2 linked regions of the Rattus norvegicus genome follow. The protein of the gene in region 1 interacts with the protein of each later gene in a biochemical or structural test. Links are inferred from orthologs where the notes say so. Each region holds a gene or a part of one and is shown on either strand. Other genes may lie near its edges.

Region 1 (3,567 bases):
ATTGGGGTTTTATAAAGGTTGTGTGTAATTCTTGGCCTCTATGGGGGCTGTCCCTGACCTCTTTCTCTTGTTATTTTAATTTTACAACTTCTTTGTTTGTTTGTTTGTTTGTTTGTTTACTAAGACAAGGTCTCTGTGTAGTAATGGCTGCCCTGGAGCTGGCTATGTAGACCTGGCTGATGTCTGATTCACAGAGATTCTCTTGCATCTGCCTTTTGAGCACTGGGATTAAAGGCCAGGGCCAGCACCGGCTGCAACCTATGCCATATTCTGACTATAATAAACTGTATTGATGAGGAACTTAAGGGAAGAATACTTTTCATTTTCTGAGGACTTGTTTTTTGTTTTGGGGTTTGTTTGTTTGTATGAGATGGGGTCTCAAACAATGCATGAACCTTGGCTGGCCTGAAACTCACTGTGTAGACCTTGCTGGTCTCACTCTGTCTGTGCCCTTTTTAAATTTCATTTATATATTTTAGTACATTTTATTATTTCGCATGTGTTAAGCATGTGTGGACTGCACATGGGTGGATGGTAGAGAACAACTTGAAAAAGACAGTAGCCTTCTTCTACCAGGTTGGTCTTGGAATTGAAGTTGGAACTTTGGGCTTGGTGGTATCACCTTTTTTTAACCCTTTGTGTTCTGACTTTTGTCATTTGGTTCATTTCTAGTTAAAGTAGCAAATAATAATCAAAGACTTTTAACTATGTATTGTGAAAGATAGTAAACATTTCTTCAACTTAAGGTCTTGTTCTTTTAAAGGCAGTAATCTGGCTTTGATTTGAGTCCCCGGCCACTTCAGAGGGCTTCGTGTCTAGGTTCTGGAGCTGCTGACCTTGAAAACAACCTCCAGACACCCTTTACATCATAATGTTTGTCTGGGGCCTTTGATAGCATTCTCAGCAATACTGGCTGCTGTCAGGTAGACAGCTGGCATGATCATAGTAGTTGTGTGTTTTCAAGGTATGGGGAGATTGCCTTTTTTTAGACCACTGCAGAAGAAATTTCTTAGTCGGTTTTATGCCTGATTTAAGATTACTACCTGTGATGATTTTAGTGTTTTCCTTGCCTCAGCTCCTTTCAGCAGCTTGAACATTCTTTTTCTATTTCCCTCCCTATGTAGCAGACTCTTTCCAGCTGCCAGAGATGATGTATGACTTAGTCACTGTGCCAGCATTCCAGCTGTGAGCAGCTGTGTTTGCATCTGGGAACCAATTCCCCTTAAATGCCCCAAAGAGGTTGTGTCTTAAAGAGCCAGTGTCTTCCCACTGATCCTTGGCTACGATTTCCTTCCTTTTGGGGTTCTGGTATCTTTGAGGACCACCAGGACCGTGCAGACTTTTGTGTATCTATTTCAGAATCATTTGTTTGTGTGTTTTGTATTTGCTCATTGTTTTGAGGGGTATGGGTCAGGGAATATGTGGGAGTTGATACTCCCTGTGCACCCTGTGAGTCCTAGGGATCGAACTCAGGTTGTTGGGCTTGGCTACAAGCCTTTTTGCCCACTGAGCTGTCTAACTGGCCTGCTTTTGTAGCTCAAAGGCAAGTCATGATCAGAGAGGGTTGGGATTTGGTTCCTATGGTAAATCTTAAGTTTTCTTTGTGATGAGTGAGCTTGTATTATCTCTTGTAAATTTTAGAAAAAAATATGTATAAAATTAGACTTTTTTGTTCTGACTGTTGTCATCACACCTGGATCAGCCAGAGACTAAAGCAGGCCTTGTGCTCCTCTCATGAGGTCAGTTCAGTTGTTTGCAGTCTCAGACCAGTCCCAATTAATGTGAGTAGCGAGTCTGAGCAGGCCAGAGGCTCCTTTCTCAGGTTATATGCAAGTTAGTGTTGGTGATCTTTGAACCTCTGTTTTACAATATAAATGACTGTGAAATATTAAAACTGTTGGCCACTGTTAAGATAAATTAAAAGTCTAAAAGGCTATTGTCGAGAAAGCATCTGAAGTTGAGAGTGAAAGTGAGCTTGTTTGCTGTCTGAGAAGTCACAGTAGAGGGAGGGTCTGCTCGCAGTGCTGAAGAGATTGAGTAGCTTAGAGGGGTGGAGTACCCAGGTGATTCTCCTGAGACTCCTGGGGTGCTAAAGACTTGTGGGGGGTCCCCCCTTAATCATTTACAAGGAATACCAGGGAAGATGACTACATCTATTGCAAAAATATCTCATAACATTGCTGCCTCTGATTTCTTGAGTTGCAAGGATTTTCTGAACTGATGACAAATGATAACAGATGATATTAACAAAGGCTATGATTTGTAGCTCAGAAAAACAGGTGTTTTGTTTTGTTTTGTTTTTCCTTGATCTCTGCAAGCTCCAATCTCTCCTATTCTATTTATAGCAAAGCAATGATATCGCTCGGGGCTTTGAGAGAGGACTGGAACCAGAAAAGATCATTGGGGCGACAGATTCCTGTGGAGACTTAATGTTCTTAATGAAATGGTAAGAGGAATTGTGCTTCACAGTTGTGTTTTTGCTATGAAGAAAGAGTGTGAAATTGAGAATTCCTAAATTTAATCCATAGTGTCAGTATTAAGTGGGAATTTATGGTTCAGAATAAATTTGTGACATTCTCAAACTTTGGTATTGTTGTGTTATAGTAATCATATTTGGATTAAAAAAAAGTATTACTACTACCTAAATTCTGTATAGAACTGAATCATTTACCGTGAGATCATTAGCCTATGACTATGGGGTAAGAGCTAAGTAAAACTTCCTACATCATTGAGGATCAGGGTCACCAAATGATGTCTAAAAGAGAAATTAATTTCAACAAAAGACATCAAACTGAATGCTAAATAAAGAAATAAAGCACAAATTACTTTATTAGAGAAAGTGACTTACAGAAGAAAGTGGAATACTTCCCCATCCTCCCTTCCTCCTTTCTTGACAAGGTCTCATGTAGCTCAAGGTGTCCTTGAACTTACTATGTAGTGCAGGACATTGAACTCATTCTCCTGTCCCCATCTCCCTAGGCCTGGAGTTACAGAGTTATAGGCATGTACTCACATATCTGACTGGCCTTTTCCTTTCTTCTCTTTCCTTTCCTCCCTTTCCTTTTTCTTTTAAGATTTATTGCCTATTTAATTTTTTTTCTACGTGTATGTGTTTTGCCTCCATATATATATGTTGTGTGTGTGTACCATGTGTGCAGCGCCTGCAGAGGCTAGAAGAGGGTGTTGGATCCCCTGGAACTGGCATTACAGGCAGTCCTGTGGTACCATGTAGGTGCTAGGAACTGAGCCCAGGTCCTCTGCAAGAACAGCCATTTCTTCAGCTCTTTATTTTTTGTTTATTTTTTGATGCTAAAGGTCAAATACAGAGACTCCACCTCTGAGCTATATCTCCAGCCCTGTAAAGAGCCTTTTCTACTTCGATATCAAACCAGCTAACCTCAGGCATTGACACTGACAGACTGTCTCAGTCTCATGTCTCCTTCTAAGTCTTGTACCCTTTCTTTCCAGGAAAGACACAGATGAAGCTGACCTGGTCCTTGCAAAAGAAGCTAATGTGAAATGTCCACAAATTGTGATAGCATTTTATGAAGAGAGACTGACGTGGCA
Region 2 (3,567 bases), on another chromosome or scaffold:
GATGCTATATGCTACGGCCTGCTCCTGCAGTGAATGCCAGCCAGGGCCTGCCTTCTCTACTCTTCGCTAGCAAGCAAGCTCCCTGTCCCTACAGGACCACCACTGCTGTCCTGTACCCTTCCTCAGGGTAAACCCCCCTTATTGTGGCTTGTCCCATCATCCCACCTGTCCCTCCATGTGTCCCATGTACCACTCCCAGTCACATCCTGTACACACACACACATACATACACACACATATACATACACACACACACACACACATTCATACACACACACACATACACACACACATACATACACACATATATATATACATACACACACATATACACACACACATATACACACATACACACATACATACACACACATACACACATACATACACATACAGATATACACATATACACATACACATATACATACACACATATACATACACACATATACACACACACACACACACACACACACACACACATCCCGCCATAGCTCCCAGCTCAGGCCTTCATACCACTGTTCCTTCTGGAAAGTTCTCCCCTAGTCCTCCACCTCCTCAACCCCTTCCTGTTGCAGAAAGGCCTTTCCCGGGCACCTAAGAGCTTCTGCCACCCTCCTCCTCCCTAACGAGCCTTCACACCTACCAGGTACTCCTCCGAACTCCAAGTCCCTCCTCTGTGGAGTGGTCACTTGAAAGGTTCCCAAAGGTACAGGTCCTCTGGTGACAAGGTTTTGTTCCTCGGACTCTATGTTTTTGGTTTTGACCTCTTCTCTTCTGGGGCGAAGGCTGTACTGTGTAGCTATATAACTGTCTTCTGTTGACAAAATGACTCTTTCCTAGTTTAAAAAAAAAAACAGTATTCAATATCTATATTTAGTGCAAAGGCTACTAACTCAACATCTCTACAGAGCTGAGAATGTATAAGAATAAATGTTAAAGGCTGGGGAGATGGCTCAGTGGTCAAGAGCACTGACTGCTCTTCCAGAGGTCCTGAGTTTGCCCAGCAACCACATGGTGGCTCACAACTATCTGTAATGGGATCTGATGCCCTCTTCTGTGTGTCTGAAGACAGCGACAGTGTACTTATATATAATAAATCTTAGGAAGTTTAAAAAAGAATAGATGTTAAATCACATACGGTCTTAAAGACAGAAGATGAACAAGTAAAATACAACAAATTCCAGTGGAGTCTGACGGAAGGACACAAAGCAAAGGGTACGGGTACCTGCTTGTTTTTAGGAGGTGTGGCGCTCTTTTCCATGTGTTCGGGCTCCCCGTTGTACACACTGACGCTGTTTGCAAACGGCTTCTAAATGGAATGTGAACCGACATAATCAGACCTGACCCAGCAAGGCATCGCAACGATAACAAGGTACGACTGGGAAAGCAGCAGACACAAGCTAAAAACCAAGAGACAAAGTCACCTAGACCTCCCTGGTCCTCAAAAGGTCAGTGCCTCAAACTTGTGGCAATCCTCCAGTCTCAACCCCTGTCTGAGCACTGGGATTACAGCTATGCAACACTATGTTTTGGAACAGGCTTCTATATTAACTGTCCTTCTTTCAAACACTTTCACACTTAATGTTTCCATAATTTCACTGTCATACTGTAACATTTCTATGAAAGGCAGGTGAGTAAAACTTGGCAAATTCGTTCACTAGCTACAAATTAAAATGAAGAAAAGACTTTCAGCGACCCTAACCAGCCCACGGTGGGAAGACTGGCTGTTTGCATTTCATGCTACATGTTGTTTACCCTTAATTATTTTCCTCCCTAGCTGTCCCTCTCGGCTCAGCCTCATAGTTTCTTACTGAGAAAAGAGAATCAATTTAGCTTGCTAGAGCTTGTTAAGGCGATGGCTGCAACAGTCTCTTCTCTCCTCTGTAGAGACTGTCAACCAACTAAAGCACTACTGAGTCAAGAAGCAAACAAAAGTCCAGCTTCAGCTTCCAGAAGTCCATCCTTCAGACCAGCCGACAATGGCAGCATTAGCTCACACTGGGTTCAAGGTCAGGCGAGCAGCAGAGCGCCCGCTATACGCCGGAGTGTACCCAGTGTCAGGGAGTGAGCCAGCAGTCAGCTCACTCTAACCCACGCTGACTACGTGCCAATGCTTCCCGAGTGGACAGAGGAGGAGGAGAGAGCACTCAACACTGTGAGGTGCATTACTGAGCTCACACGTGATGTCCACAGCTGAGGCAGCCTAAATGTGAACTGGACACACCATGCAGGTTAGACTCTGACGACAGGGGCAAGGCCACCCGAAGCTCTTCTATCAATAAAAGGGCAGTGTGAAGATGGAAGCTGAAACGGAAAGCAGTGAGCAGCATCTGCCCCTCCCCCACGTGGTAGAGAGCCACTCAAAGAAACAGCAAGTCCATCATATAAGGAAGCACAAAGTCTGAAAAAGAAGGTGACAATCTCTGACAACCGGTGGGGGGGGGGGGGGGGCTGTTACAGTCCTCAGATGGAAAGCAAGCATTCCACACGGTACTGATGGTGGCACAAGCATGCTCACCCAGTCCAGCACACGTATTACAAGCCTCTGTTGTGCACTGTCCACCTTGACCAAGCTAAGTCTAAGGAGATGACGAGATGCTGCAGAAAGCGTTTAGAACAGTGAACACCGAGAGGGAAAAACACAAGGTTGCACCACAGAACTAACTTTAATACTAAGGTATGTATGTGTCTTGAGGTTTACTGTGTAACAACAGAAAGAGGAAACTACCACATGGCACGTTATTCTCACTATTTTAACATTTCAAAGTCTAAGTGCATTACTCACCGTTTAGTTTTTAAGATTATTAGAAGCCCGGGTGCTCTGTCTCCAGAAGAGATGGCATTAAATGAGTAGAATACAAAAGCATTCTTTTTGGGGTTGGGGATTTAGCTCAGTGGTAGAGCGCTTGCCTAGGAAGCGCAAGGCCCTGGGTTCGGTCCCCAGCTCCGGAAAAAAAAGAACCAAAAAAAAAAAAAAAAAGCATTCTTTTTACTTCGCTCTAGCTAGTGTCTAAAACAGGGGCTCTCAACTTGTGGGTCACAACACCTTTGGCAAACTTCTATCCCCCAAAATACTTACATTAAGAATCATAATAGCAAAATCAGAGTTATGAAGTAGCAACAAAATAATTTTATGGTGGGGTCACCACAACATGAGGAGTTACTGTAAAGGGGCACAGCATTAGGAAGGTTGAGAACAAATGATTAAAATATTTATCCAGGGGTTGGGGATTTAGCTCAGCGGTAGAGCGCTTGCCTAGCAAGCGCAAGGCCCTGGGTTCGGTCCCCAGCTCCGAAAAAAAGAAAAAAAAAAAAATTTATCCATCAACTGTGGTAGCTTACCCTATGATCTCAGAACTGAACAAATGGAGACAGGGGGATTTTTATCAAGTTCTTGGCCAGCCTAGGCTACCCAGTCTTAGAAAAGAAAAAAGAAAGAAAAAGAAAGTAAAAAAACTATAATACTACATAAGATGAAATACTTTTTGGCTAGGTCCCCTGGCTCCACCCACGTCTGCATGGACCACCAAAGTCATTCCACGGGAAAGATTTTTAAAGAGTGAA

Evidence for each region. The genes of interacting proteins can lie anywhere in the genome.
Region 2: the proteins of Cbx5 (region 1) and Lbr form a complex in vitro, tested with the Homo sapiens proteins (2 studies listed by BioGRID, with this or other methods). The link is inferred for Rattus norvegicus from reciprocal best matches to the Homo sapiens genes CBX5 and LBR.

The regions. Positions count from the first base shown.
Region 1 is NC_086025.1:136,212,097-136,215,663, reverse strand, and holds part of Cbx5 (chromobox protein homolog 5), read left to right. Parts: intron 1-2,345; coding exon 2,346-2,446; coding exon of another isoform or gene 2,447-2,450; exon of another isoform or gene 2,451-2,452; intron 2,453-3,468; coding exon 3,469-3,567. UniProt on the Homo sapiens protein: Component of heterochromatin that recognizes and binds histone H3 tails methylated at 'Lys-9' (H3K9me), leading to epigenetic repression. In contrast, it is excluded from chromatin when 'Tyr-41' of histone H3 is phosphorylated (H3Y41ph).
Region 2 is NC_086031.1:96,085,649-96,089,215, forward strand, and holds part of Lbr (delta(14)-sterol reductase LBR), read right to left. Parts: intron 1,313-3,567; coding exon 1,229-1,312; intron 840-1,228; coding exon 647-839; intron 1-646. UniProt on the Homo sapiens protein: Catalyzes the reduction of the C14-unsaturated bond of lanosterol, as part of the metabolic pathway leading to cholesterol biosynthesis.